Linked DNA regions of Elephas maximus indicus. The protein of the gene in region 2 interacts with the protein of the main gene of each other region in a pairwise test. Links are inferred from orthologs where the notes say so. Each region holds a gene or a part of one and is shown on either strand. Other genes may lie near its edges.

The links.
Region 1: the proteins of KIF2A (region 2) and LARP1B interact in binary tests that used the Homo sapiens proteins (3 or more experiments, as listed by UniProt). The two-hybrid records come from large-scale screens. The link is inferred for Elephas maximus indicus from reciprocal best matches to the Homo sapiens genes KIF2A and LARP1B.
Region 3: the proteins of KIF2A (region 2) and FAM13C interact in binary tests that used the Homo sapiens proteins (3 or more experiments, as listed by UniProt). The two-hybrid records come from large-scale screens. The link is inferred for Elephas maximus indicus from reciprocal best matches to the Homo sapiens genes KIF2A and FAM13C.

The regions. Positions count from the first base shown.
Region 1 is NC_064823.1:17,726,551-17,737,069, forward strand, and holds the start of LARP1B (la-related protein 1B), read right to left. Parts: upstream 5,011-10,519; 5' UTR 4,734-5,010; coding exon 4,244-4,733; intron 1-4,243.
Region 2 is NC_064820.1:66,850,041-66,861,130, forward strand, and holds the start of KIF2A (kinesin-like protein KIF2A), read left to right. Parts: upstream 1-6,456; 5' UTR 6,457-6,703; coding exon 6,704-6,767; intron 6,768-11,090. UniProt on the Homo sapiens protein: Plus end-directed microtubule-dependent motor required for normal brain development. May regulate microtubule dynamics during axonal growth. Required for normal progression through mitosis. Required for normal congress of chromosomes at the metaphase plate.
Region 3 is NC_064834.1:28,816,077-28,826,993, forward strand, and holds the start of FAM13C (protein FAM13C), read left to right. Parts: upstream 1-6,092; 5' UTR 6,093-6,189; coding exon 6,190-6,251; intron 6,252-10,917.

The DNA.
Region 1 (10,519 bases), on a different chromosome or scaffold from region 2:
GCCTCACTTCCTTCTAAACACTCACCAGAACTGCCTGGTTGTTGTTGTTGTGTGTCCTTGAGTTGATTCTGACTCATAAAAACCCAATGTGACAAAGCAGAACTGCCCCACAGGGTTTCCCAGGCTGTATTCTTTACAGGAGCAGGCAGCCAGGTTTTTATCCTAGGGAGCTGCTGGTGGGTTTGAACCACTAACCTTCTGGTTACCAGTTGAGCACTTAACCATTGCACCACCCTTTTAGAATCACCTTAGATATCTGTAATTCTACCAATAGTCTCTTCAAGGCAATGTAGGCTTTTATTATTAGGCACCTTAAAACTCTTCCAGCCTCTACCCATTACACAATTCCAAAACTGCTTCCACATTTTAGGTATCTATTAGCACCACTACTTCTTGGCATCAAATTCTGTCGCTATCTAGTGCTGCCAAAGAAGAAATACCACAAGTAGATAGCTTTAAAAAACAGAAATCTATTTTCTCACAGTTTAGGAGGCTAGAAGTCTGAATTCAGGGTGCTGGCTCTAGAGCAAGGCTTTTCTCTGTCAGCTCTGGAGGAAGGTCGCTGTTTCTTCTGAGCTGCTCCCGGGCAATTTTCACGTGGCTTGGCACCTCTCTTCCTCCTTCTTTGCTTCTTTCTGCTTGCTTGTTTAATCTTTTTTATATCTCAAAAGAGACTGACTCAAGACACACCCTACACTAATCTTGCCTATTAACATATTAAAGACAACCCATTCACAAATGGGATTATAACCACAGATATAGAGGTTAGAATTTACGACATATATTTTTTGGGGGGGTACAACTCAATTCATAACACTGCCCAAGAGAAAGTCACACACGCGTATAAGAGGCATGTATAAAAATCTTCACTGGCTTAATGTTTAGTAAAATGTAAACTACCAAGATGATGGTCAACATTGCTAAATTAATGATGTATAGCTGTATATATGGACCGCTTCTCAGAAATTTCTTAAAGAAGTTTGGATTAAAATGGATCAGCCAATACTTTGACTGGAAAAATGCACAATGACATTTTATATTCTAAGCACATAAACAAAACATTTTATTTGGAAGTAACTGCATAGAAAGAGGTCTGAAAGGATATCCAGTAAACTGGTAACATGAGTATCACTTTTTTTAAAGGGGACATTGAGTTCTATGCTTTTACCAAAAATGTTATTTCATTAGGGTAATAACAGTAAGCTTATTTGAGGTTTTTGGAAGCAGGTGTTGGAACATTAAGGGTTGATGAAGATCAACATGGAGTCAGAAGACTCTCTAAGAATGGCAAAAGCAATGCTTCCCTGCACATGCTTTCATAAGAGAGGGGGCCCTGGTGGCACAGTGGTTAAGTGCTCAGCTGCTAACCAAAAGGCTGGCAGTTCAAATCCACCTGCCACTGCTGAGAAACCCTATGGGGCTGTTTTACTCTGTTCTACAGGGTCACTATGAGTTGGAATCAAGTCGATGGCACCGGATTTTGGTTTCAGGGGTGAAAGGAATCAAATTACTTTACAAAACTGATTTTTAGTAAGCAAAACGCAGCCATGGCTACAGGTAAGTGGTTAATGAATCCCATACTCAGATTTCAGTAAAGATTTCCAAATAAATAAAACTAATTTCAACAAGTTAGGACACAGATTGTGAGAAAGTTCCTTCTGGTCTCACTAAATTCAAGACAGCAGTGGCACTATTCTAGACTTCTGGGGTGGCTTTGGGTTGAAGAGGGCCTTATCCCAAAGCTATCTTATCAGGATCACCAGAGAGTATAATATACCGGCCAGGAGAACCATCCTAAAAGTAGAAAGACTCTCACAACAACTGGAGAAACTAAAATCTACCTCACTTAGAACCGCAAATTTTCATGTAGAGAAAATTTAGAATTTGTGTCCTGAAATATATCCCAAATTCCTATATTATTTATATATCTGGCAATAAACTTTCTGGCAAAATTTTATAGGTGGAATTGTTTTGCCTCACTAAGTGGCAGTATATCCACGTTTGGCAGAAAAGGCCTGGTTTAAGTCTGTTATCCCAGTATAATCAACGGTGCCCCTTTTCTCTCTCAAGAGCATCCTGGTTTGTAAGATAATTATATAGGCACCCTACCTTCTGGTGTGCACCTACTCTGAACCTGAAGGGCCTCTGTTTCTATTTCATTATTCTTGGAGTTGCAAGTTTTCTTAGGAAAATACGAAGCCAGGGCACCAAGGTTAAAGATGGCACTCTGGTATTCAGAAGTGGAAGACATGAGTCTCACCATTTCATTCATTTACAAGGTCCAGAAGTCTTGCCAAAAGTCAACTAGCTACTTAGTAACAACACCTGGACTAGAATCCAAGTCTCTCAGAACAATCCATTTCTATACCATAATCTAAGTTAACTAAGTTTTTCAATTGCAAATATAAATCATGGTTGAACAGTGTAGTCAGTCATGGGGAGAGACTATAAAAGTTACTACATTACTCCTGAATGGTATTCCTGAAGGCAAAGAAAGGAGCCCAAGGAGTGAAGAGCAACCTACAGCCATCAGTAAAACTGACATTCCCAGGAACACCACCACACATCAAGCATCACCTTGTTCTTAATCTCCAATGAATATTATTGTTGTTAGTTGCTGGGGAATTGACTTCGATTCTTGGTGACCCTGTGTGTGCAGAGTAGAAATGCAACACAGGATTTTCAAGGCTGTGACTTTTCGGAAGCAGTACGGCACGCGTTTTCCCTGAGGCTCTTAACCTGTTTCTGACACCCAGGGACTCCCTCCAATGGGATTAAGACACCCCTTCTGATGAAAGTACCAGTAAATTAATTAACTAACCTGGTAAGATATTTTTAACAAGATCACTTGCAATTAAAGTTCCCTAGGCTTTGATTTTATAATCAACACAAAAGAGTTCATTTTTTGGTAGTCATGGAATATAACGCATAACTGTATATAAGTCTAGAAGTAGGCAGGTGAAAGAGCCAAAAAAAAAAAAAAAATGATTTCACTAAAGCTTTCTTTCTCTTTGCTAAATTTTATGGAGATTTTCCTTAACGGTGTTCTCTTCAGTCAGTAAAAGAGGTAAACAAATAGCTCTAGGTAAGAGGAAGAAATGACAATATTAAATTCAGGGCAAATTTTTAAGTACTTTTTTCTGCAAGTGCCAAAATTTATCAAGAAGCAAAAGCTAAGGAACTCAATTAACTCAACACTTATTTCACTCTATTGCAGAGTTCCTCTGAAGAAACGGTAACATATCAGCAACATAACGTGTGTCTTTAATAATCACCGTTCATTTTATATCACTATCATTTGATTCTCACAACCCTGTTTTTTTATAACACGCTCAGATTTTCCCTATATTCTGCTGTTAACCTTTAATTTTAAGAAAAAGTGAAATAAACAGCTGTAATTTCTATATAAAAAGTTCAATTAATTCACTATACCCTAAGAAATCAAAACTGGAAAATGCGTTTTACCTTTGTTTATTTAGCATTTCCATTTTTAATTGCTTAATAGTTTTAAAAACGGCAGCTGCTACAACGAAAATAAAGCACCAGGGGCCATAATGCATTGGCCAGCATTCCAAGCGCAGTGGCTGCTCTCCACAGTTAAAGGGAAGGAGAGCTAACTCAACGTTAAAGGACTACCATTTACCTAATGCGCAATCCACTCACGTGTCAACTATTTCCATTTTTTCCCACAACAATCATAACTCAAGGCACCGAAATAGCAACATTTTAATATTAATAATTCTTTGAAAGCCTTGAGATTTTCAGCTCTTCAATTATTTTACAGTAAAATACCAGGACCCCGCTTCCTCCTGCTCTTGCAAATGAAGCCCCTTGCTCCGCCTTGGTTCAGCCGGTTTTTAAACGTTCACAGGACCTTTTACCCCCGGATGAACTGCAAGACTATCGGCCTAAGTTCGCTACTTTCCCGAGCTGCTAACACGTGGAGGCAAAGCACGATCGAGGCCGCGCCAGCCTCGCAGCGATGCCACTTTAACCCCGCCGCGCTCCCACCAGTCAAGGAGAACCTGAGGTCCCACCTCTTCCTGCCGCTCCCTTCCTAGATGTCCATTTATGTAAATAAGCAGAGTGAATGACACCTTGGAACGAAATACCTCCGACTGACAGGGAGACGAGGCCTGCCCCTCCCCCCGCCCAGCGCCCAATTCGCCACCACGCGCCAGCAAGTCCCACGAGTTGTCCGTTCCCACACCCTCCCGGTTCCCACCCTACGGGAGCCACAGACCTGCCTCCAGGGTTTCCAGCGGGGGCGGCGGCGGCTCCGTCCCAGTGGGGGACAGGTGCGGGGGAGGCTTTTTGGTCCAGGGGTTCTCCTTAGGCGGCGGCGGCGGCGGCGGCTTCTCCTCAGGCCCGACCACCGCCTCCTCCTCCCGGGCGTCCTCGGCCGGCAGCTCCCGCAGCGGCTGCTCCCCGCCGAAGGGGCCCCCGGACCCGCGCGCCTTGTGCGCCAGGTGCAGCGCCAGCGGCCTCACGGGCACGGCCGCCTGGGGCACACTGTGTCCCAGCACCGGCGCCGGCGACGGCTCTCCACGCGCCCCAGCACTGCTGGCGGCCACGGCCCTCTCCTCCCTCGCCGCCTCTTTGCCCTCCCGTTCGGGCGCGGGCGGCTGCTCGGCCTGCCTGCTCGCCGCGGCCGACAGCGACTCCCTCTCAGCAGCCGCTGCCGACAGCTCCTCCCGAGGGTGCGCGACGGGCACCGGGGCGCGAGCTGACATCGTCCCCTTGCCCCAGCCGCCCCAGCCGGGGGGGCCCTGGGGCCAGGGAGCCCGGCTGCCCGTTCCTCCGCCCGGGCACCGACCGGCTCCGGCCTGGGGCAGAGAATCCGAGAGCCCGGCCGCCGTCGCCACCGCCGCCCGCGTCGCCCGAGGCCGTGCAGCGCCCGGCGTGCCGCCCCTCCCCGCGCCGAACGGAGCGCTAACTGCCCGCCGGCCCAGCCCGCCTCGGCGGCGCACGCCCGGAGCCCGCCAACACGCGCCGGGCGCCGCAGCCGGGAGCCGCGAGCCCTCACCTGGCGCGGGCAGCGGCGGACGAGCAGCGAGCCGGGGCCGACAGAGCTCCACCGGAGCGAGGGAGGCGCGCGCCCCGGGAGCCGGTAACTGCTCGCGGAGGCGGGGACATGGGGGGCGGTCCGAGAGGACGGGGCGGGGGCGGGGCCTGCCGGAGGAGCGTGACGTGGCTACTCACCGGCTCCTGCCCTCAACCAGGCCGCGGCGGCTGGCAGACTGACGAGCCAGCCGGTGCCGCCGGCCTCAGGGCCCGCCCTACCCCGGCGGCCCGCCGTAGGGGAGGCCGGGCGAACAGAGCGAGTCCCCGGCTCGCGGATGACGGCCGCCGGCCTGCGGGCGCAGGGGCGGGGCGCGCACCGGGCCTCTGTGACTCGCCTCCGGCTCGCGCCCGCTGGGGTGGCTTCGGGCGAGGGGCGGGGCAGGCTGCGCAGGTGGTGCCAGGCGGGCCCGGCCGCGGCGGGCAGGGGCAGTCGCTTTACACTTAGTCCCTGGAGCCGAATCGAACTTCGGTAGAACTGTCTCTGCCACAGGCCCGGGGCGGCTCCCCAGTGACCGGGGTGCCCGTCCCCCTGACCCAGGTGCCCTGGCAGGATGAAAGTTGCCCCCTGGCACCGCGACCACCTGTAGCCTTGAGCCACGTACAAAATGAGAACGCTGTTATCTGTAGGTAACTGTATATGAAACCTTTGCCTGGGCAGTTGGTTTAGTTCACTTCCCCACCCCTGTTTCCACCCGCTAATTGAAGTATCATTAAAGTGCTCTTGAGTATAACAAATAGTTAATATTTCTTTGGTCTCTCTCTTTTTTTTTTTAACCTGTTCCTTTAATTCGGGGAGATAACATTTGATTACAAATTAAACCCATTCCAAGTTGTTGTTTTTTTTTTTTTTTTCCTGGAATAGATTTGCATTAAAATAGTGCAAATATCTTTGGGGGGATCTGATAGGAGCTTTCTACTTGGCACTCATTCACTTATTGGTTTCATGTGCATGTATTGTGAGTTAGTGTTGCTGTGCAAGGTTGCTGAGAGTGAGTTCACAGGTGAAAATATTTTTTCGCTTAAAAGTCCCCCCCCTCCCACTCCACCTCTGCCAAAAATAGGTATTCGCAATTTGTGTGGACTTGGAACTAGTCCAACCCAGCTTCACTTAAAACTGTCAGGCCAGGCAAATAATTAGTACAGGACCACCCTCCTGTGGTCCAGCTCCCACTCATAGTGACCCTATGGGACAGGGTAGAACCGCCTCATGGAGTTTCCAAGGAGTACCTGGTGGATTCGAATTGCAGACCTTTTGGTTAGCAGCCATCGCACTTAACCACTATGCCACCAGGGTTTCTAGCCTAGCTCCAGTCACATTAAACTCGAGATTAATTTTATTAACTCAAAAGCTGTACTAGGCATAAATTATTTTCTTCAGGCTAACAAACTAGTCATGCATTAAAACAGCTCTAAACAAGGTTTCTCATCTGTATCAATAATCTCTAATTTACCTGACCCTAGCCAACCTCTGAGGACCCTGTGGCCCAGTGGTTAAGTGCTTGGCTGCTAGCTGACAGGATGGCAGTTTGAACCCACCAGCTGCTACCTGAGTGAAAGATGTGGCAGTCCGCTTCCCTAAAGATTTACAGCCTTGGGAACCCTATGGGGCAGTTTTACCTTCTCCTGTAGGGCCACTATGAGTTGGAATCAACTCGATACCAACGGGTTTGGTTTCGAACCAACCTCCTTTCCTATTAAGTGAGGATTGTATTTACACATGTATTCCCAGAGAGGCACCATCTTTGCTCTCTCTTTGGTGAAGCTTTGTATTTTTAACTACCTCTTCCTGTTATAATCACCTCTTTGGAGACATGCCAGATAATACTTGACTCTCCCCTTTAGGAAAGCTTGTCAACAGATTCACTTAGGATGATTCAGAGAACACATTCTATTTTCCTGTAACCTATTTAAATACATGTTGATTAAAGACTGATTTAGTTGAGCAAAAGATTATGTGGAATGGTTCTCCAAAGTTTGATTTGTGTGGGCTACTCTAACCATGGTTGGTTGTTTTGTTCAGTGTTTTTAAGTGAAAAGTCATACAGGGACCTTCTCAAGTAAGGGTGCTTATTGAAGGAACACAGGGGAACTTTCTTGGAAATGGATTTTGGTTGCAGGGAGAGAAGAGCTGGAATTCAAAAGGGCTCTAGAGAACTCAACAGTAGGTGTTGGGGATCTTCGCTGTAATGCAATGCCACTAACGTCAATCAGCTACATCGCTAAGTTTGCAACTTGCTCCTCTTTTAAATTTATACTAAAAACTCCTAGTTGCATATAACTATCTCTTGCAAACGACTTCATGTATCTTCTATTAGCACCTCTATATCTACTCTCCACCCTTCTGCTCTTTTGCCAGGGAGGACTGACCTGTTCACAGGGCACCACCTTCTCTAGTATCTGGATGGGTTCAGGCAATGGGAGGTACAATAGATTGGAAGCCAGAGAAGAGTGAGGTCATAGGCCTTATTGCCCCAGTTGGGTCACCATGGGTTGGCTGCAGTGCCTTCTCTGTACAGTTAAAAAAAAAAAAACCCAGTGCCGTCAAGTCAATTCCTACTCATAGCGACCCTATAGGACAGAGTAGAACTGCCCCACAGAGTTTCCAAGGAGCACCTGGAGGATTTGAACTGCCAGCCTCTTGGTTAGCAGCAGTAGCGCTTAACCACTATGCCACCAGAGTTTCCAAACCCACTCCAAATCCCTCTTTTTGCCTCTTCAGGCCTAGGGGTAATAACCTCTAGCCAGCCTTTTGGGTACTGCATTATCTTTTGTTGGCTTCCCTGACTCTTGCCTACACTTCTGTAAATGGTGCTTTTAACAACTCTCCTCAAATTGCCCATTTTGAGCTCTCCACCTGTTTTTTGCAGGGACCCTGACTGACGCAGTATGGCATTGTTGAATCTTCATTGCATTACTTATTCTGCCTCTGCTGATAATTGCCAAATTCTTCCTCTGCTTCTTAGTTCAAATTCATAGAAGACAGACAGTTTAGCTTATTTTCTCTAACCACATCACACAAATCATTAACCAACCTATGGATTATTTGCCCTTGGGTAGGGTCCCACCTGGCCCAGAGGAACAAGTTATTTGATTCAAAACATTGACACAAAGCAGTGGAGGCTGGGGATTGGTGAGAGGGGGAGTGCCAGTTTTCCGTAGACGTGTTAGAGGAGCTAACCTAACCAGGTTCTTCCCCTTTTTCCATCTCTTTAGGAAAGACACCAACCATTTAAGTTCTGAAGATAACATGAGATAATATATAATATGTGTAAAATGCCTATCAAAGCCCCTAACTCAATTATGTTCGTTTTTAGCTATTTTTATTGCTTTTTAACCAAGATGTTGTTGTTAGTTGCTGTCTGGTTGATTTTCGACTCACAGCAAGCCCATGTGACAGAGCAGAGCTGCCCCATAGGGTTTCCAAGGCTGTAATCTTCATGGAAGCAGACTGCCACATCTTTCTCCCACGGAGCAACTGGCGGGTTCAAACTGCCGACCTTTTGGTTAGCAGCTGTAGCTCACTATAGCTCTTAGCTACTGGGCCACCAAGGCTCCAATTTAACCAGGATAAAAAAAACACCAAACCCGTTACCATAGAGTAGATTCCAACTCATAGTGGCTCTATAAGGGGAGATAAGTTTTCCCCTAATGTTAAAGGAGCTTGGGGTTTTTAAGGCTTGAGGGGAGATAACTGAATCTGTAGTGCACTTAAGCGAGGTGTGGCAAGAGGAGTATAGCTATCTTGTAATAAACAAAGCTTGGCTTTTTTTTTTTTGGCCAGAGATGAGATTGGAGAGATGGCCTAATGCAGATCGCGAAGGGGCTCTTGGGTTATGACGGAGTTTGAATTTTATTCTCAGAGCAATGGGAAATCACTGAGAGTTTTTAAAATATTGCTGCAATATGGAGAGGGAAGGGGAAGTGGCGAGTGCTGTTAAACTATTGTTGTTGTTACTATACTTACATGGCAATAAAGTGGAAATTTACAAATTGTTCAAGATTATAATATGTTAGTATGTTGCTAGTACAGTCTTGAAGTGAGGGTGCCCTGTCTCCTGAACTTGAACATCCTCCCACAGTGGTGATGGATGTATCGGTCCATCATAGATTAAGTACATAAGCATGTAGACACGTACCAACTCTGCTCTGCATGGCTCTGGATTCTGTGATGTCCAAATCTGGTTTCCCATCAAGACTTGCCTTCAGAGAAGGAATGTGTGGATCACTGAAGATAAGAGTCTAATCCATTTAATGGTTATATGATTCATCAAAAAATAATAACTTTTGTTTGAGATTTAAATCATTTATTTATGTTCTTGAAGTCAAATCCATTCTTTTATATTTTTACTTTTTTTTATGAATGTTTTCAAACATAGAAGTAGAGAGAAAAATATAATTAACTCCCATTTACTCATCATCCAACTTCAACAATTAGCCATATTTTGGCATTTTTGTTTCATTTATATACACCTTCGTATTAGTTTCCTATTGCCACCCTAACAAATTTCTACAAACTTAGTGGCTTTAAACAACACACATATATTATCTTACAGTTCTGTAGGTTAGAAGTCCAACACAGGTCTCATTGGGCAAAAATCAAAATGTTAGTAGGGCCGTGTTCCTTTAAGGAGACTCTGGGGAAGAATCCATTTCCTTGCCTTTTCCAGCTTCTAGAGGCTGCCCATTCTCCTTGGCTTGTGGTCCCCTTTTTCCATCTTCAAAGCCAGCAATGGCAAGTTGAGTCCTCACATAGCATCCCTCTGACCACCTCTTCTGTAGTCAGATCTCCCTCTGCTTCTCCCTTCTGCCTCCCTCTTCCACTTTTGAGGACTCATGTGTTTAGATTGGCCTACCTGGATAATCCAGGATAATCACCCCATCTCAAGGTGCTAAACTTAATCACATCTGCAAAATCCCGAGGGTGCGCGACGGGCACTGGGGCGTAACATATTCACAGGTTTCTAGAACTAGAACTTGGACATCTTTACCAGCTGCCATCAAGTCAGTTCTGACTCATGGCAGCCACGTGTGTGGCAGAGTAGAACTGTGTTCTATAAGGTTTTCAGTGGTTGATTGTTTTAAAGTAGGTCACCAGGTCTTTCTGGCCTGGACTTGAACTGCCAACCTTTCAGTTAGCAGCTGAACATGTTAACCGTTTGAACCACCCAGGGGCTCCTGGATATCCTTAACCCAGTGCCGTTGAGTCAATTCCGACTCATAGCAACCCGATATCTTTAGGGGACTGTTACTCTGCCTAACACAACTTCCAAACACATATACACACTTTTTTTTTTCTGGAATATTTTAAAGTAAATTTAGATATCATGTAATTTTTGCTTTTTAGTACTTTAGTATGTATCTCTGTCACTTCACCTCTCCCTCTCCAGCCTGGCTTCTCCCTCTATCACTCAGCCAAATTCAGAAAATTCATCCTTAAAATTCTGTTCCCCTAGAA
Region 2 (11,090 bases):
AATTAAAATTAAAGCAAACATTACATTAACAAGTACAAATATTAGGAACGTCACAATGTAGATCATAATTAAATGTGACATTGTATCGTTTGATATTTCTATATAGATCTAAATCCAATATGGACTTTAAGGTCCTTGTACATTAGCTCTCCATCAATAGATTACGATTAAGACAATCCTATGCCCTATCAAAAAGTGCAAGTAAAAGAATCATAATAAAGAAGTTGGACTAGGAAAACAATCAATCAATCAATGTCTGTTTAGTGCCCAGCCCCAAAGTGGCAAATGTGTAGAAAATACTGTATTGTGGGAATTCAGGGGTAATTAATAGTTCTCAACTAGGTGCACATACACCTCAGAATCTCCTGACGATTTTTTTTTTTTCCATAATAGTTTATTGTGTTTTAGGTTTAGGTTTAGGTTCTGGTTCCCGTTCAACAATTTCTACGTAAGTTGTTCAGTGATACTGCTTACATTCTTCACAACACATGAACATTCTTGTTATTTCCGTTCTGGTTGTTCTGTTTCCATTAATCTAGTTTCCTGTCCCCTTACGGTCTCATCTTTGTTTTAAGAAATTGTTGATCCTTGGTCTGATATAGGTGATTTTTTAAAGGTGCACCATACTTAAGGGTGATATTATTTTTTGAGTCAGTTTGTTATTTAACTACAAGATGACATTAGAGGTTAGTTTCAAATCAAGGTCTGAAGGGTATTTCGGAGCAATTGCCTCGGGAAGTTTTCCAGTCTCCATCAGTCCAGTAAGTATGGTTTTGTTTTTGTTTTTTAGAAATTTGAGGTTCTGGTCCACATTTGCCTTCCATTTTACTAGGGTCCATCTCTTGTGGCTCTGATTAGAATGACTGGTAGTGCTAGCAGGGCATCCTCTAGTTCTTCTGGACTCAGGGTAGATTAAGCCGTGGTTTGTGTAAACTACTTATCCTGTAGACTAGTTTCTTCTTTGAGTCTTTGGTTTACTTCTTTCTTTTTTTGCTCTGGGTGAGTAGGCCAATAATTGTATCTTAGATGGCCGCTCGAAAGCTTTTAAGACCTCAGACATTACTCACTAAACTAAGATGTAGAACATAACTTTATGAACTATATTATGCCAATTGACTGAGATGTCCTACGAGACTATGGTTACATAGTCCTTCAAACCCAGACATTCCTTCAACCCCAGAAAGCTAATTCCGTGAGGTATTTGGTTATGTCTAAGAAGTATCCATAACTCTGTCCCCTCTCCTGATGAGTTTTTCAAAAACAGACTACCCTAAGCCCCACCTCTTGAGATTCTAAACCAGTAGGCCTAAGGTAGGGAGTCCCTGGGTAGTGCAAATGGTTAAGTACTTGATTACTAACTGAAAGGTTGGTGGTTCAAACCATCCAGAAGCACCTTGAAAGAAAGCCTTGGCAATCTGCTTCTGAAAGGTGACAGCCATTGAAAATTCTACAGAGTGCAGTTCTACTCTGAAACACATGAGGTCACCTTGAGTCAGAATTGACTGGACAGCAACTGGTGTTTTTGTTTTGTTTTGTTGTTAGGCCTGGGTAGAGCTTGCACCTCTATATCTGTTTAAAAAAAAAAAGTAAAACCCTGTTAGGTTCTTCTGGTGAGCATGGTTAGGTAAGGATCACTAGATAGAATGGTTATGGTAGGCTGGATTGGTGGAGAAAGCCCCATAAAGAGAGACTTTAGATGTTCCTTGCTAGGTGCGAAGCGTTTAAATAGGTAGAGAAGAAAAGAGGAGGACAAATCATTCTAGTCGCTGGGGCAAGACGTGCCACACTGAGCAAAACTGAGAAGCAGAAATGGGCAAGCACTCTTTGGGGGAGAGTAGTAGGCCGTTCTGCAAAGAATTCAAGGCAAATAAAGATGCTAGAATGTCCACTGGGTGTGGTAATTAGAAAGTAATTATTTGACTTTTAAAAATATAAGGCAGTAGAGGATTGAATCCAGATTTAGGAGTTAAGAAGTGAATGGGTGGTGGAAAATCAAGGCAGTGGGAATTTAGAGCACTCATCTGAGAATGTGGCAAGGAAAGGAAAGGAAAGCAAAAAATAGAATGGAATTTAAATAGTAAGAGGAAGACCAAGAGATTTTTTTCTGGAGAAGGGAGCCTGAACATGTTCGCAGGAGGTAGAATGGAATGCAAAGGAGAAGAAAAGAAGGGACAGTTTAGAGATAGAGTATAATTGGGATATATACATCCCAGGGTTAATGTATTTGTTTAAAGCCTGAGGTACATCATAGAGAGATTACACCAATTTAATTAGAATTAAAATTTGAATAAATTTACGGGAATTGGAATCTCTGACAACCAAAAAGTCTCTAAAAAAAAGTCCAGAGCAGAAAGCGAATAGTAGAGGGAAAAAAAGTTTCCGCCAACCGTGCCTATTTCTCCCACATGATCCCAGACCCACAAACTTTGTGGAAGTAATCCAGGATAGATAAAAAAAATTGAATGGAAAAGCTTCAAATTAGAATACAAATACATATAATCTGAGCTAGAACTGGAGCTAAATTGTATCTCTGTTCTTCCACAAGGAACAGGTAACCCCTTAAGGTGAGTGCTGGCTCTGGCCTCAAATCTCAGTTACTAGCTTAATGGCCTCTTCCTTGGAGTAACCCCTAGGGTTTGTGTACTAATAATCCAATGCAGAGAAGCAAAACAACAACAATGAACAACAAGGCATAATAAGGAATTCCAATAATTAAAAATTTTTGAAATGGATTATAAACTCAGAATTCATAAAATAAACCAACATCAGCCACTCTTAGTAAGATGGGTGATGGAAATGGTTTTTGAGCAAGAACATTCTGTCAGTTAAAGTTAGGGTAGACTAGAGCAGGTAAAAGAATACAACCCGAACTGTAGAGTTCTTGCTATCCTTTTGATATGAGGTGATGAGGGTCAGAGCCAAATCAATGTGTTTAGTTTTATATCACTGGATACAAAATCCTAACTAATGATTTGAGGATTACAAAAGAGAACTAAACTTTTTTTTTAATGAGATAGTTTTACTTTGTATTAAACTTTATAAATTTCCAAGTACCTTTTATTATTTCATTTGACCTTCCCCAAAACTTTGTGCAGTTGGCACCCATGTTCATTGCAACACTGTTTACAATAGCAAAAAGATGGAAGCAACCAAGGTACCCATCAATGGATGAATGGATAAATAAATTATGGTGTATTCACATAATAGAATACTACACAACGATTAAGAACAACAATGAATCCATGAAATATCTCATAACATGGAGGAATCTGGAAGGCATTATACTGAGTGAAAATAGTCAGCTGCAAAAGGACAAATATTGTGTGAGACCAGTATTATAAGAACTCTAGAAAAAGTTTAAACACAGAAGAAAATATTCTTTGATGGTTATGAGGGTGAGGCAGGAGGGAAAGGGGTATTCACTAATTACATAGTTGACAAGAACTATTCAAGAACTATTTTAGGTGAAGGGAAAGACAACACACAATACAGGAGAGGTCAGCAAAACTGGACCAAACCAAAAGCAAAGCAGTTTCCTGAATACAACTGAACGCTTCGAATGCCAGAGTAGCAGGGGTGGGGGTCTGAGGATCATGGTTTCAGGGGACATCTAGGTCAATTGGCATAGCAAAATGTATTCAGAGAACTTTCTGCACCCACTTTGATAACAGGCGTCTGGGGTCTTAAACGTTAGCAGGCATCCATCTAAGATGCATCCATCGGTCTCAACCTACCTGGAGCAAAGGAGAATGAAGAACACCAAAGACTTATGGTAAAGATAAACCCAAGAGACAGAAAGGGCCACATAAACCAGAGACCCCATCAGCCTGAGACCAGAACTAGATGGTGTCCAGCTACCACCGATCACTTCCCTGACAGGAAACACAACAGAGAATCAGGACCAGGATAACAGTGGGATGCAGATCTCAAATTCTCGTAAAAAGACCAGACTTAATGGTCTGACTGAAACTAGAGGGACCCTGGAGGTCATGGTCCTGGACTTTTTGTTAGCCCAAGACTGGAACCATTCCTGAAGCCAACTCTTCAGACAGGGATTGGACTAGACTATACGATAATGAATGATACTGGTGAGGAGTGAGCTTCCTGGCTCAAGTAGACACATGAGACTACATAGGCAACTCCTGTCTGGAGGTGAGATGAGAAGGAAGAGCAGGACAGGAGCTGATGAATGAACATGGGGAATACACGGTAGAGAGGAGGATGTGCTGTCTCATTAGGGAGAGAGCAACTAGGAGTACATAGCAAGGTGTGTGTAACTTTTTGTATGAGAGACTCACTTGCTTTGTAAATTTTCACTTAAAGCACAATAAATAAATTAAAAAAAAACTTTGTGCAGTTGGAAGAATGGAATTTATTATCTCAGGTTGATCAAACATGTAACAGAGACACAGAACAGTTTAATAAGTTAATTCATTCAACATTTGTTGAGTGCCTACTATGTGCCAGGCACTGTTCTAGTTAGGGTTGTGTATCTTGCTAATGCTTGACCCAGAGTCAGAATCCTTGATCCGTTATTGTTGGTGGAAATGTAGTCACACTGCATTCATTTATGGCTGCTATTCAGTGGCCCACTTGAATACTAAACCCATGATGCAAAGTTTATAAATATAGATGCTGGGGCATACCAAATAGCATAAGTCTTTTGGGTATGACTTGGAAAGGTTTTTGTGTTTTGTACATTAGGCAAATTGTATGTCTCACACATGTTCATGGAACAGGATGATGTATATACAAAATACCTTTGTATACTGATTAAAGATTGTCTCATAACCCACAGGGTGCAAGGTATGTAACCGTGTATAAAATATGTTATGGAATAATTTTAAATTTATAGCTTTATAGCTCAATGTCTTTGGATTCTTTAAAGAATTTTCAAGCAAATAAATAGATGCTTTATACATTAGTCATAGAGACATTAGAGAACAGGCTCTATTAGACACCAACTCAGTTGCTAAAACTCTTTAGATTTTCAAGAAAAAAAAACTGAGCCCTGATTTGGTCAAATTCTATTCTGAAACAGAGGTCTTGAAGTGAAATGTACAGTAATTTCTGGAATGTAAAAAACCCAACCCAGTGCCGTCGAGTCAATTCCGACTCATAGCGACCCTATAGGACAGAGTAGAACTGCCCCATGGAGTTTCCAAGTAATGTAAAAGCAGACGTTGTTTTCCACATGGTCTAACCAGTGTTTTTCATATAAATTAAATGGCCCAAATCCACTTTACAACGGATTTAAGAGGTTTTCTTCTTTTGACAAGTATACCTCCAATATGTTTAAATTACAGGTGAGCTCGAGTCTTTTAATGCTTTTTGTTAGGGTCTACTGGACTCCATTACTTATATTAGTTGAAAACTCTAGGACTGTGCATGTATGTATATGTATCCGGTTTCCAATTTTTAAATTTTGAAACAGTGTTTTTAGTTACAACGAGATTAACAAATACTAGAGAAAGTGGGGCACGAAAAATGTTTCCTCAACATCAAGTCCCAATACTAGAAGCAAGAGCCACAGGTTTGGAGGTTTGTACCCGGTGCTGGAAACATGGTTTCCAGGATCCCTGCCAGGAAGGAGAGTCTTGCTCGCCACATTGCTGATGTGGTCAAACTAGTCAAGTGACTCTGCAGAAAATGCACAGCCCTTAGTCAAGCTGATGTATCTGACCTCCATCCTTGAGTCATTGTAGTTGGCTTTACAGGCCAGGACAAATAAGCCTTGAGCCCAATAGTAGGGCCAGGATACTAGCATCTGATGCACCATAAACGGAAGTCAAGGCCGCGCCAATGCAGGGCTTCTTTTTAAGCGGCGATGAGCTAAGAGGCAAGGTCAGGAAGAGGCAGATCTTCATTCCCTGACTTATAGAGTGGCTGACCATAAAGCTGTTCCGTTTCTTTCAAAACTGGATGGGAAACCTGAACCAGGTGTGCCTTGGGAGGATTACCTGGGTCAGCCACCTCTATATGTGGGGTGACACTTTCAGATGAAACACCAAACTCATGCCGTCACTGGCCAGTCCCAAATTTGCATCGCTCAGCCCCGCACTCCACCCGGAAAACCCTCAAACCTCAAGGCCCTCAATCCTTTGCAGCAACAGCTTCAACTCATAAAAGCCAGAAAAAAAAAAAAAAAAGCCAGGGCGTAAAGAAAAGCACCGGCTCGGAGGATCCCGCCTCTTTTAGGCCGCGCGCTGAAATCAAACTCGACGCAGACTTGTGGGGGGCCGGGCCGCGCGCACTCCGCTCCCCGACCCAGGCAAGCCCGGGCCGCCGCCCGCCCGCAGCAGAGCTGGGCGGGGCCGCCTCGAGACAGCGGAGAAAAGGGAGTCTAGGAGGAAGAGACGCCGGAGGTGCGCTCTGCGCAGGCGCGCGGCGCCCCGCCTCCCCAGCGTCGGCTGCTGGGCGGGAGGGGCGGCCCCTCCTACTCTCCGCGGCGCCGCCTCACGGCCCCGTCCCTTGCTTCACCCCGACGGCCCGGTGTGCGCGTCCTCCCGCCGGCCTGCAGGCCGGGCGCTTCCGCCTGCCCCGCCGCTGCTCCTCGCGGCCCCAGCTTGCGTTCACGCTGTCGCCCGGGCCAGCGCGGCCGCGGGCAACCGCTCCCCCTCCCACACGTACCCCGCCCCCTCCCTGCCTTTTCCGCTCTCCGATCCCCCTCCCTCGGCCCGCAGCCGCTGCTCCAGATGAGGTGATGGCAGCGTCCAACTTCGGCAAGATCCAGATCGGGATTTACGTGGAGATCAAACGGAGCGATGGTGAGCCGCGTCGCGGGCCTGGCCAGCCCCGCGTTCCGGTGTACACGGAGGGGACGCGGGCGCCGGCCGCCTCATTGATTGCTCCGTGGGCTGTGGGGGCGGGAAGGCGGCGGCCGTGGCGCTTTTGTGTGTGGCTTGTGTGCGGGTGAGGCCGGCGTGGGGTCCGCCCGGGGCGCCGCTGTAGTGCTGGGGGCGGGGAGGGGCCTTGAGGAGGGCTGCGGGGGGCTGGGCCGCGGGGGACGGCGGGCGGGCAAGGGGCCCGGGTGTCGCGGCCTGCGCCTCTGGGGGCTTCGGGCGGGCGCGGTGCCCGGGAGGACGGCCCCTCGCTCCGCCTGCGATCGCCATCCTCTCCGGCGGCTGCAGCCCTGAAGGGAGTGGGCTTCGTGAGGGCTGACCCTGCCGCGCGTTTCCTCCCGGCCTCTTCATTTTTACTGGTCTCTTTGAACGTTGGGGGTGGGGAGGATGCAGAGCAGTGATTTCAGCGTGTGCAGAGCCGACTTCTGCTTCAGAGGCTGAGATGGGGGGGAAGACCGATTCCGCTGGTTTAAACTGCTGTGTGGTTGTCAGGCCTCTCCCCCGGCTCTCGTTTCTGGAGCTTGTTTCTTCATTTTTGCTAGCCCCTTTTTTGGGAGAACGATGTAGAGAATGTCATGCTCAGCCATGAATAAGGATGGGGGAGCAATGGGAAGAAATAGTCGATAAGCTTTTCAAAGATGATGAGACTGAAAGGGAAGGAGAGGAGATGAGCGCCGTCAGTGCGAGACATTGCCCAGAGGGTGGGGGCGGGCGACCGGATGTTGATATTTTCACACCCCCGGGAGAGGTAAGAGGGAAGTGTGAGGGGCGGTGAAGACATGTTTAAAAAAAAAAAAAAAAAAAAAAGGCTTGTGTGTCTTCCTGTAGATTCCTCTTGGGGAAAATGTTTATTTCAGTAACTTTGGGTGGGGAGTGAGGCACGCCGCCAGACTTGGAAACAACCTATGTCGTAAAGGAGAGAAGTAAAATTCTTTTCTTTCGGTGTGAATATTGAAGGAACTAGAGGTGTGTGATGTTCTTTACTGACTCTGCCTCGCTAAACCAATTTCTTTAATTTATGGCTTACTTTCTGTCCCTTAGCCTAGTCTGTAGCAATCTTGGTATCACATCCGCATCGTCTGGGTTTCTACGAAGTTCGACCAAGTTATGAGAAGCTAGATTGACTTATCTGTGTGATATACTGGAAGACCCAATATAGGTGATGGATTTTTTCCCCCTTCTTTGTACTTCAGGTCGTTTGTGTTAGCAACTGGAAGCATCATTATCCTGTATGTAAAAAGATAGATTATACCCATTGAGCTTTAGAAGTTAATGGTAACACTAGTGGGAAAGAGATGTCTCCTTTACTTGGGTTGGGGTTTCTTTATTTTTTTTTCTCCTCAGATTAACTTTATTGGAACAGCGCTGTGTCATTTCCTTTTTAGGTGAATGTGATTTCGCTGTATACCAGCAAAAGTAGTATTTACATATAATTTTCAAAACTTTGGGTGCAATAAAATGTATCTTTTTAACCTTCTTATAAACCTTTCATTATGAGTGTTAACTGTAAAATCTGTTATTGGAAAAAGTAGCATTTATTTGACATTTGAGAGGTTTGTATGTTTTCAAGGCATTTTTCTGAGTCGACATTTTTTTTTAAAATGTATTGAGCTTGAAGCTGTATTGGTTCTTCTGGAGTTCTAGCCTCTTGTTAATTGCTGTCAAGTCAATTCCTAGAGCCTTATAATATTCTTTGCCCTATTCAGCCTGTACCAGAAATTCTCAGACATACAAGAGTATTGTGTTCTTATATATGTGTTAGTAACCTAAACTCACATTTCAAAAGCAATTTTCCCGTAAGAAATAATGGTAAAAAATGGAAATCTTTACAATGTGTATTATCCTAACCTAGTAGTCTTGTGATACTGTACATATTTATGGGCCTTGGGTGCATGATGGAGTTGGTGGAAGACAAAAGATAAGTTGAGAATTTGAAAGGAATAATCATTTGCATTTAATGATGGTGTTTCATAGTAGAAACTGATATATCAGAGACCTCCCTCAAGCTTTTCCTTTTTCCCTTTAAAGACACTTTTGCTTCCTCCCCCTTGTATAGCAGATCTGTGTTGAGTAAAACACTAGTGGTTATTGTAACTAAAATAAACTTTACTGTTTGATGAGCACTAATGCCTGAGACAATAGAAATCACATAAATGAAGAAGGGCTGCTTCAGATGGCTATTAACTAGTTACTTGATGTTCTGCACCTTGTTAGTGGTAATCCTTGTCCTTTTTTCAGACCAGGCTTTTCTCATCAGTGATGCTTATATGTTAGGGCATGTTCCAAGGGCAAACAGGTAAACTTAAGATGATTTATACTATCTTTCAAGACCCTGCTCAAAAACTAATCCCAGCAAGTCTTCACTGTGCTAAAACCAGATGGCCAGCTTGCCTCTGACTTCCTTAGTCACTTTGTACCATTCACTAGACATCATATTTCCTTGACTATTAGTATTTAGGTACATTTCTCTTAATATTATGCTTTCAAACTATACTAGGGGAGGGGTGGTATGAAGAATGCAATGGTGGGGGGATGGCAGGCTAATAGACTGTTAAGTTCCCTGTATTCCCCTTATGTGCCTGGCAGGGTTCTTTGCATTTGTTTTTGAGTAAATCATCCATTATTGGATTTTTGGTTTTCAACATTATTTTAATTAACCACTCAGACGAAATCTTACTGGGAGGTGAAAGTTCCATCTAGGCTCATCTGTACTGCAACTATTCTACTATGACCCCCCACTGCCTACACTGGCCCCTTAGTTCAGGATCCCCAGATTCCATTGAAACTGAGTGATCTGCTAAGGCTAACTTGAGTTTTCTGGTATTCTAAGGTTAGAGATGACAGGAGTTAGGCTTGGACTACTGAGATTGTTCCCAGCCATAGATGATAATCTAGTATGAAATTGGATTGGTTTCTGGAAATGGACACTTATGTGTAATTTATTCTCTTGCATTTGTCTTTTAACTTTATGATTCAATTCCTTAAAGTCCAACGACTCTAAAAACTACAGTATTAACTGTTGTGTAGCTTAGTCTTATTGGCAGATTTTAAAAACTGCACTGTTAAAGCATTTCTTACTGGTTGTACAGCGTCTGTGACTACGTTTTGGTAAATGGGGGAGGGATAAGAAATGTTGAATATTTCGAAGCTGCAGCCAAGACGGGATTATTTTGGGGGTCATTTAGTCACAATGTTGATATATAGGAACTGAAGGAAATCAGGATGTCTAACCTAGAAGGATTCTTGGAGATAATCTAGTTGTCAGTTTTACAAAGGTAGAAACTTAGTCTCAAATAAGTGGATTGTCTAGGTTTATACAGCTTGTTAATGACAGCCATGTATGTCTTGCATAGCAGAGAATCTATACTGTTAAGAACTGTAGCGGTAAAGAGAGAATTCTGTTACTTCAGAAACATACTGATTTCTACAGCCAGATAAAGGTATAGGAGATTAACTTCTTATTTGGGAAAGCCACCAGAGAGCAGTGTCACAGAGCCCGATTGGAATGATTCCTGGGAGAACGTGATACAGTATAGTCACTAAAACCAAAAAACCAAATCTGTTGCTGTTGAGTCAGTTCCGACTTATAGCAACCCTATGGGACAGAGTAGAACTAGAACTGCCCCATACAGTTTCCAAGGAGCGCCAGGTGGATTTGAAATGCCGACCTTTTGGTTAGCAGCCGTAGGTCTTAGCCACTACGCTACCAGGCTTTCCGTATAGTTACTAGAAGATCACAAAACCAAGAATAAATTTGTAGGACTGTGAAAAGAAAATATTGCTGCTTCTTAATTAAACGGTGGTGAAAAAGTGTTTTTGATTAGCCCTGAAATCCATGGGAAATTGAAAAATTTCAAAGAATTTTTGTTATTTGGGAATTTTGGAGCTTAGGGCAGGCAACCTTTAGAAAAGGTTTTAAATGGCCTAATTCTCATATGGGAATTCCACAACACTTAATTTTGCTCATGCAGAACCTATACATGGACCAAGAGGCAGGCATTCAAACAGAACAAGGTGATACTGCACGGTTTAAAATCAGGAAAGGTGTGTGTGTCAGGGTTATATCCTTTCACCATACTTACTCAATATGTATGCTGACCAAATAATCCAAGAAGCTGGATTTAATGAAGAATGCAGCATCAGGATTGGAGGAAGACTCATTAACAACCTGATATATGCAAATGACACAACCTTGCATGCTGAGAGTGAAGAGGACTTGAAGCACTCACTGACTACAGCCTTCAGTAT
Region 3 (10,917 bases), on a different chromosome or scaffold from region 2:
AGCAAGGATGGCGATACTTCCTCTCACATACTTGGGACATGTTATCAGACGGGACAAGTCCTTGGAGAAGGACAGCATGCTTGGTAGAGGGTCATTGAAGAAAAGGACCTCAATGAGATGGATTGACACAGTGACTGCAACGATGGACTCAAGCATAGCAGCGATTGTGCAGATGGCGCAGGACCAAGCAGTGTTTCATTCTGTTGTGCATAGGATGGCTATTAGTCGGGACCTACTCAACAGCACATAATAACAACAATTACTCTAAAAGCATCATGGTGGCAAGGCCTATGTTTTCTTTATCACTACGGAACATTGACAGGTATGTTGCATTTGTTCAATGAATAAGTAAATTATACCAGTTCATCTATTTTGCATTTTCCCCTATATTTTCAGGAGCTCTTTTCTCAAAATTTAACATGGCATTAATAGATAATATAATTAAAACAACAACACCAACTATTTCAGTCTTCAATGAGTTTGAGAAATACTTGATTAAAAATGATGAAACCTTTTTGTTGCTACTGAACCCCTCAGAGCCTAACACACATTGTAAATTTATAACTTTCAAATTTATACATTTTATTTTTGGCCATGTAACTTTTTTTTCTTTTCTGGACCACCTAAGAGACTAGAATTCCACCGAGGACACTTAGGGAAACACTGGTCTAGAAATCTCTTTTCAAAAACTCAAATGTTAGTTTTTCTGCCTCTCTTTTTGAACTCTCCTTGAACTGCTGTTTAGTCTAACTGAGGCTTTTCAAAATAACCAGATGTTGTATGGTTATCCATCATTATTGTCCTATTCCATGTTGCATAATACAACACATAAAAAAAAAGACACTTGAAAAGATAATTTCTAAACCTGATTTAAGATGTGAACAAATAATGTCATAAGAAATGACTGAGAAGTAAAAATTAAAATGGTTGATATCCTTACATACTGCCACATTTCAGGGCTTTTTTTTTGTTTGTTTCTGGAACATCTTTGCTTTGTAGCCATAATCAGCTGTATCAACAATTTGTTTTGATTGTACGTGGGTACTACCTGAAACCTAATTTTGATCCATTCATAAGTTTTTGAGAATTCTTATTTATTTCCTATGAATTTATTAAATGCATTTATTAAATGCATTTGTTATTTAATTTTATTCTCAAAGGGTCCATATTAGTTCATACAGCTAAGTCCTGTTTCAAAGTTAAAAACAATGTACGTTTCCATTCCGAATGGACCACTGAGAAAGTATAAATGAGACAGTATAATTTTTTTCTGCATCCAAAACCCATTGCCGTTGAGTTGATTCCGACTCATAGTGACCCTATAAGACAGAGTAGAACTGCCCCACAGAGTTTCCAAGGAGCACCTGGTGGATTCGAACTGCTGAAATTTTGGTTAGCAGCTGTAGCACTTAGCCACTACGCCGCCAGGGTTTCCTTTTCTCTGCTTAAGAACTTTTCAAAACAGTACCATAGTGGGGTCCGGAAACTGGCAAACTTTGGATCTGTAGAACTAAAAAAGCTGAATGTAGACTTACCTTCATCAATCTCAATAAAATAGAAAGAGTAGACCTCAATTTGTGATGATTCAGTACTAAATTCTCGCTTGTACTGAAGAAGCCAAGTCTTGACGCTCCACAAAGTAGCTCCTGTGAGATAGTAGGTGGTTTATATATATGTTGTTGTTGTTCGGTGCTCTTGAGTCAGCTCCTACTCATGGTGATGGCATGTATAATAGAACGAAATGCTGCCCCAGCACCATCCTCACCACAGTAGGTGTGTTTGAGTCCATTGTTGCAACCACTGTGTCACTCCATCTCATTTGAGGCTCTTTCTCTTCCTCGATGACCCTCTACTTTACCCAGCATGCTGTATTTCTTCAGGGATTGGTCTCTCCTGATCACATGTCCAAAGACAAGTCTTGGCATCCTTGCTTCTAAGGAGCATTCTGGCTGTACTTCATCCAAGAAGGAGCGGTTCTTTCTTTTGGCAGTCCATTCAACATTCTTTGTCAACACCATGATTCAAACGCATCAGTTCTTCTCTTTGGTATTCCTTTTTCATTGTTCAGCTTTCGCATGCAAATGAGACTATTGAAAACATCATGGCTTGGGTCAGAGGCACCTTAGTCCTCAAAGCGACATCTTTGCTTTTTAACACTTTAAAGAGGTCTTTTGCAGCAGATTTGCCCAATGCAATACATCATTTGGTTTCTTGATTGCTGCTACCATGGACATTGATTATGGATCCAAGTAAAATGAAATCCTTGACAACATCAATATTTTCTCCATTTATCCATGACGCTGCTTATTGGTCCAGTTGTGAGGATTTTTGCTTTGTGTTGAGGTGCAATTCATACTGAAGGGTGTAGTCTTTGATCTTCATCAGTAAGTGCTTCATGTTGTCTTCACTTTTAGAAAGCAAGGTTGTGTTATCTGCATTGTTGTTGTTCCTAGGTACTGTTGAGTAAGTTCTGACTCATAGTGACCCTATGCACAACAGAACACTGCCCTGTCCTGCACCATCATCACAATTGTTGCTATGCTTGAGCCCATGGTTGCAGCCACTGTGTCAATCCTTCTCATTGAGGGTCTTCCTCTTTTTTGCTGGCCCCCTATTTTACCAAGCATGATATCCTTCTACAGCGAATGATCCCTCCTGATAACATGTCCAAAGCATGTGAGATGTAGTCTCTCCGCCCTTGCTTCTAAGGAGCATCCTGGTTGTACTTCTTCCAAGACAGATTTGTTTATTCTTTTGGCAGTGCACAGTATACTCAATATTCTTCACCAACACCATGATTCAAAGTCATCAATTCTTCTTCAGTCTTCCTTATTCATTGTCCAGCTTTCGCATGCATACGAGGAAATTGAAAACACCTTGGCTTGGTTCGGGCTCACCTTAGTCCTCAAGGTGATGTCTTTGCTTTTCAGTACTTTTATTAAAGAGGTCTTTTGCAGCGGATTTGCCTAATGCAATTTGTCTTTTGATTTCTTGACTGCTGCTTCCATGGGCGATGATTGTGGATCCAAGTAAAATGAAATTCTTGACAACCTCAATCTTTTCTCTGTTTATCATGATGTTACTTATTGGTCCAGTTGTGAGGATTTTTGTTTTCTTTCTTTCTTTTTTTTTATGTTGAGGTGTAATCCATACTGAAGGTTGTGTTCTTTGATCTTCATCAGTAAGTGCTTCAAAATCTCTTCACTTTCGGCAAACAAAGTTGTGTCATCTGCATAATGCAGGTTGTTAATGAGTCTTCCTCCAATCCTGATGTACCATTCTTCTTCATATAGTCCAGCTTCTCGGATTATTTGCTCAGCATACAGATTGAATATGTATGGTAAAAGGATACAACCCTGACGCACACCTTTCCTGACTTTAAACCATGCAGTATCCCCTTGTTCTGTTAGAATGACTGCCTCTTGACCCATGTACAGATTCCTCATGAGCACAATTAAGTGTTTCGAAATTCCCATTCTCTGCAATGTTATCCATAATTTGTTACGTCCACACAGTTGAATGCCTTAGCATAGTCAATAAAACACAGGTAAACATCATTCTGGTATTCTCTGCTTTAAGCCAGGATCCATCTGACATCAGCAATGATATCCTTGGTTTCATGTCCTCTTCTGAATCCAGCCTGAATTTCTGGCAGTTCCCTGTCAATATACTGCTGCAGCTGCTTTTGAATGATCTTCAGCAAAATTTTTCTTGCATGTGATATTAATGATATTGTTTGATAATTTCTGCATTTAGTCAGATCGCCTTTCTTGGGAATAAGCATAAATGTAGATCTCTTCCAGTCGGTTGGCCAGGTAACTGCCTTCCAAATTTCTTGGCATAGAATAGGATTGAGCAATTCCAGCACTGCATCCATTTGTTGAAACATCTCAACTGGTATTCTGTCAATTTCCGAAGCCTTGTTTTTTTGCCAATGCCTTCAGTGCAGCTTGGACTTCTTTCTTTAGTACCATGGGTTCCTGATCATTTGTTTTACCTCCTGAGATGGTTGAATGTCAAGCAATTCTTTTTGGTATAGTGACTCTGTGTATTCATTCCATCTTCTTTTGATGCTTCCTGGGTTTGGGGGGTTGTTTAATACTGAACAACACAGGTCATCTGCATAGCACAGGTTAATGAGTCTTCCTCCAATCCTGATGCTGTATTCTTCTTCATATTAGTCTAGCTTCTCGGACAATTTGCTCATCATACCTGTTGAATAAGTATGGTGTGATGATACAGTCCTAACACTCACCTTTTCTGATTTTAAACCGTGCAGTATCTCCCTACTCTGTTGGAATGACCGCATCTTGATCTATGTATAGGTTTGGCAGGAGTACAATTAAGTATTCTGGAATGCCCATCCTCCAAAATATTATCTGTAACTTGTTATGATCCACACAATCGAATACCTTTGTGTAGTCAATGAAACACAGGTAAACCTCCAAAGGCTGGATATCTCCAAATTTATTTCAGCCCGTAGAGTTCAAGTCTAAGACCACAGTAGGCTTTTATTCAGCTTAATTTAAAAATATTTGTAGAGAAGAAAGTGAAATTGCAAAGAACCTTAATGAAACCTGTTTTTCTCTGAAAACTTGATTTTGGTTTATCAAAGAATGTGACTCTCATACAAATCTAGGCCACGTGTCAGAGATCAATTATTCAAGAGGAAACCTGTGGAATGGTAAAGCTGGTTCCAAGAGCATGCTGAGAATCTGAGTGTTTAAAGGCGCTTAGAGAGAATGTTAGTGTTAGATTGTTAGGTTGGATGCAACATTGCTCAATGTCTTACAGTGCAATAAAACCATAAACTCTGAGGTTATCTTTTCTTCTGGACAGATCAGACAAAATTTGCCAGTTAACATGTAACCTCAGTGTCTGGGATCTAAAAAAAATCAATAGTGAATAGTAAAGTCAGCCATATTCTCCTAGAGAATTAAGTAGCCCTCAGGTGGACCTGCTGAACAGTCTCTTCCAGTGACACTGACGGCTAACGTTCCTCTCCCTCATGTCCCAGTTTTGGGTAATTTTTCTAATTATCTGAAAATGAAAATTTATACATAAAAAATTATTATGTACCTCACTGTCATCTCAGTTATTTGTGGGAGTGGAGAGATTAAAAAAAGGGGGGAGGGGAATGGGGCTTTTAATTCAAAATTTAAAATAAGCATCTGTCACTGATGACTGTTTATTCCATGTCAAGGTCAACATGGCAGAACAAATGAACAATGGAAGGAGGGAAGGACACATATCTCCAGGGGAATGCAGGAGGAGAGGGCTGGTAATCTTCCCCTCCCCCAACAGCGCTGACTTTATTCAAAGGGGAAATGTTTGTGATCTCCCTGTCCATTGTGAAGAAGCCTGTGAGTTGAGCTCCAGCAGGCTGCTCCTGGGAGCACCAAACCCCACTCCTTGCACTGTCCCTTAGTCACCAGGTAATAATTCCTCCACTCGCCCTGCGTGGGCTCATTCACAGCTTTGTAGTCCGGGGCTGGGCGCTTCCTGTTAGGAACTGAAATAACAGCGAGGACAGATCGTGTGTGATGCAGAAAGTCCTTCGTTAAAAAAAAAAAAAAAAAAAAAGCGGCTCTTCTTTTTCCTCGCCAAACACACACACACGCGCACGCGCGCACACACACACGCACACTCACAGTACAACAAAACACACTAGCAATGTCTCCCTCCCTCCTTTCGTTCCCTCCTGGCTTCCTCTGAACGCTGCTGAATCTGTGCCAGCCTCCATCCCTAGGGGTGGGTGGGTAGCTCAGGAAAATTGGTAGGAGACGACTGGAGGACAGCAAGTCTCCTGGGCAGAAAGAGTTGGGCATTGCTATTTCCAACCGCGGGGGGCGAAAGGCCTGGATTAAACGCGGCGCCGGGACCGGCGAGGCTAGGGTCGCGGGGCAACTCTCCAGCGCTCCGTGCTGGGATCCCGGGTACCGGTTCCGCCCCGCCGCCGCGCCCCGCCCGGCTCAGTCCCGCAGCCTCGCGGGCTGCCGGGCTTTGTGGTTCGCCCGTGCCGCTGGGCCCCTGCTGGGGGTGTCGTTACGAGCATGTGCAGACAGCAGCCCAAGGTAGAGCGAGCGCGCCGGGCGAGCCCTGAGGCTTGCCTTGCAATGCCATGTTTGTGTGTGTGCTCTAACTCCCGGAGAGCGATCAGGGAGACGGCTCCCCGGCCAGACTTGGCTGATGTTTTCTTGTTTCTGTTTCAGCCTTCAGGATAATTCCTTCGGCAGCACCATTGTAACAGAGTAAGTGATTCTTGCCATTAAAATAAGACTTGCATGCCTTTTGGTGGAAGCAACTATCGTGAAGGTACCCTCCACGGTCCCCAGCTGCTCTTCCTATTAGATGCATTGTCTCCTGTTATCTGGGGCTGTGAAGACTGCGAGACGTGCTGATTGATGGGCCCAGAAATCTTTACATGTTGAAAGCAACCTTTTAGCAGCTGCGGGAGAGATATTAAAACAAACTGAATGCTTGCGGGAGCTGAATGCTCCAAGATATGTGTTCTTGGAGCTAAGATTTTTTTTGTTTTTTAAAATCTATTTGCCATGTCAGAAAGGAAGCTTGGTTGTATTTTGCCAACACTGGTGTCAGTTTTCATGGAGTGCACACTGTATACATTTACAGCAAATAGAGAATGGGTGTGAAATTACTTGAGCTGAATGCAAGCGTGTGATAAACAGGCTAAACTTGTCTTCATCCTCTTCTGTCTTCAGATTTTTTGAGAAACAGCAGAGTAAACTTTTCTTGCATGTCCTTTGTCATTTTTGTCTTCTGACCTCAAAGATCTGACTGTGGGAGTAATGATTCATTTGGCCCTGTGATAAAAACTGGTGATTAGGGCAACTAACACCATTTCTGTGTGGAATGAAGGAGGGTAATGTTTTACTCAAGGCCAACAGGCAGTGTGTTTTAATCGATATTTATAGTTCGTGGTTTTAATTCTCATCATCCTTCTTAATATGTTTTATGAATACCATAATACACATTAAAAAGTAATAGTATTTTGGCTAGTATATGTAATATATATACAGTGTATGTATATACATATACATATGCAATGCATGTATTACATCTAGCAATCTTTCTCTAACTCAGGGTGTTTACTTCTGGGACCTTTCTGTGGAAGTCACTCTACACAGCTTTTCAGGAAAAAGGGCTGTGTAGGTTTATGCCCTCAGCTACATTACGTATAACGCCTGGCGGATTCGAACTGCCGACCCTTTGGTTAGCAGCCGTAGCACTTAACCACTAGGCCACCAGGGTTTCCACATTATGTGTATGTGTATATATATATATATATATATGTATATATATAAATGCTATGTTTGATATAGAATGCCCAACTTAGATGCTAAAGTTCCATGGAAGGGAAGTAAGAATTTACAATTTGAGTGTCAAGTCCTGCACTGTCACGATGCCTTGGTGATGGAGGGCTAAGATCCCATGGCGCTTCACAGTGTCTCTAGTTTCCCACTTTCTTTTGTTTCTCTGGTTGGATGTGTCCAGCTTTGAACTCACTGAAGTGGAGTCGCTTTTTAAAAAGCAGGCTTGACTTTAGAAGAGGTAATATGACATTTTCATGGGGACCTGCATCCTGCTAATGAGATTGCTGGGTAACCTGTTCAGCAACTTTGCTCTTCTCAAAGCTGGAGAGAGGGGAAAGGATGCTTCTTGCCAAGGTATGCAGGCCAAAGATGAAGGCTTGATTTCCTGGTTCCGGTGCACAGGTGCTGACCTCCTCCCGTTGCTGTGCATACAAGCCACAAGTGCTTTCTGGGCCTGATTCTCTGAAACCCTATGCAGCTGAATCCCCTTAGTCAGCCATGGGCATAACAGCTTCAAAACGGAGACACTTAGTTCTAGGTCGCACTTGAGCCATTTAAAAAAAAAAAATTTTTTTTATAGTTAAATGCTGGAGAGAGTCTGGTACCTTGTCTCTGGACACTCCCCAGGGAGTTCTGATTGCATAAGATCATGTGGTTACTTTCAGAAAAGTGACAGTGATTTATTTTAAAAAGCACTGAGTGACAACTGGAAAACCATCTGGCTAATTTACAAAATTTAAAGAGAATATTTAAAACATTCCAAAAGCTGTGTACGTGTAAAACAGCACGGACCAGTGTCACTTAAAACTAGTCATTGTCAAATACAGCATTTTCTTCTCACCCGGGTCATATGAACTCTTTTTTCTTGGCTCTCTGGACATGTCCCCATGACAGGCAGTGCAAGAGTGCCCTGTATTGAGATGCAGACATCACAGGTGCTCAGGACATGTTTGGATGAGGCCTTGGTAGACACTTTGGAAGCACTTTCCTCTGGTGTATGTTTTGGATACAAGAAAATTTCCCCACCCCCACTCCTAAAATTCACCCGCTGATTTTCTTCAGTGCCTGAAATTCCACCTAGAGATGATTTCTTTTGGAATAAGGCCTCAGGGGTGACCCTTATTAAAATAGAAATTAAAAAGTATGTGCCCCCTGGAAGTGGATTCAAGTTGTCATTAATGCTTTACCATAAATTATTCTTCAGATAGTCTAACCTAACAGAGTTCTGCTTTGGCCAGCTGGGGGTCTTATAAGGGTCAGAGGGAAGGAGAATTGGAAGGGATTCAGGACAGTTTTTATTCACTTCTGGGTTTTTCCCAGTCATGGTCTGCAGCTCTGGGCCAATACAATTTCTTTTTCTACCCAAATTCTTTCAAGATCAAAATGGTCTTGACCTTTTCTTCTGTATGCAAAGCACCCTTTCATCCGTTATTTTTCCAGGGTCATTTCCTAGGTCATCTTGGCAAACCTGCTATTTGAAATGAAGCCTGGTACAAAAGGAATTCTGACTTGTCATCATCGGAAGCAGGGGTTCCAAACCCAACTGGTCATCAAAATCAACCAGGGGTGGGGGAGGGGGACTTGTGAAAAATAGTTTCCCAGGCTTTCTTCGAAGTGGAAACCCCGAATGCATGGTTGTGTTGGAGTTAGTCCAGCACGGGTCTGGGACTGGGAAACGTTTGTTGTTGTCGTTAACAGCCCTTGAGTCAGTTCACCCCCAGCCCCCCACTCAGGGTGACCACATGCACAACGGAAGTAAATACTGCTCAGTCCTCTGCCATCTTCATGATCTGTTGCAGATTGGATCATTGTTATCCATAGAATTTTCATTGGCTAATTTTTGGAAGTGGGGACTTCTGCGTGGAAGGTGAGAATTCTACCACTGAACCACCAATGTCCTCACTGGAATATTAGAGGCACATTAATTACATATGGGGGGTATTCTGCTTTAAAAACTCACATTCCTGGGCCCCACCCTCAGAGTGTTGAACTAGGGGGTGGGAGTGTTAGGGGACCAAAAAAAAAAAACCAAACCCATTGCCATCCAGTCGATTCTGACTCATAGCGACCCTTTAGGACAGAGTACAACTGCCCATAGGGTCTCCAAGGAGCGGTTGGTGGATTGGAACTGCCGACCTTTTGATTAGCAGCCTGAACTCCTAACCACTGGCCACCAGCCAGGAGCATGCTATTTTAAACAGGCACTCCAGGTTGTGCTAATACAGGTGGTGCTGGGGCCATGCTCAGAGAAGCCCCATGTGAGGCAGCACTACTACAATGGTACCCTCAGGGAATATGATATCACAGGGTGAATAGAATTCCCCTGTCAGCACTGATAAACTGCATTTTATCTAATAAGAAACCCGAGGCCTTTCTTCTTACTTACCCCAACTTGGAAAAGAGAACTTCTCACAGGCACTTCTTTCCCTGTCATCATTATAAGAAACAAGTGTTGTTGTTAGGTGCCATCGAGTCAGTTTTGACTCACAGCGACCCTATGTACCACAAAACGAAACACTGCCTAGTCCTTCGCCATGCTCACGATTATTGTTATGCTTGAGCCCATTGTTGCAGCCACTGTCAATCCATCTCATTGAGGGTCTTCTTCTTTTCCACTGACCCAGTACTTTATCAAGCAAGAAGTCCTCCTACAGGGACTGATACCTCCTGACAACATGTCCAAAGTATGTAAAACACAGTCAGTCCCCCCATCCTTGCCTTTAAGGACCATTCTGGTTGTACTTCTTCCCAGACAGATTTGTTCGTTCTTTTGGCAGTCCATGGTATAGTAAATATTCAATACCCTTCGCCAACACCACAATTCAAAGGGGTCAATTCTTCTTTGGTCTTCCTTATTCATTGCCCAGCTTTCACATGCATATGAGGCGATTGAAAACACCTTGGCTTAGGTCAAACCCAAAAACCCAGTGCCATGAGTCAGGAGCACCTTATTCCTCAAGGTGACATGTTTGCTTTTCAACACTTGAAAAGAGGTCTTTTGCAGCAGATTTGCCTAATGCAATTCGTCTTTTGATTTCCTGACTTCTACTTCCATGGGTGTTGATTGGAATCCAAGTAAAATGAAATCCTTGACAACTTCAATCTTTTCTCCATTTACCATGATGTTGTTTATTGGTCCAGTTGTGAGGATTTTTGTTTTCTCTATGTTGAGGTGTAATCCATACTGAAGGCTACAGTATTTGATCTTCATCAGTAAGTGCTTTGAGCAAGCAAGGTTGTTCTCAGTTTATGAGCACTGTATGCATGAGCTTTTGGGAAGACAGACCGAAGAGAATATTTTGTTTCTGTTTTTCTGAGTTTGTGGGAGAAAGATGTGGCATTCTTCTTCCATAAAGATTACAGCCTTGGAAGCACTATGGGGCAGTTCTACTCTGTCCTGTGGGGTCGCTATGAGCCAGAATCGACTCGATGGCAGTGGGTTTGATGTTTTTTTCTGGGTTTTGGGTGGTAACACAGATTTCACTGTTTTACGCCTTAGAATCCTGGCAATTCTTTAGCCTTACTGTGTAAAGGTAATTCCTGTCTCACAGAGCTGTCAGGCTTAAATGAGGTAATGTGAAAG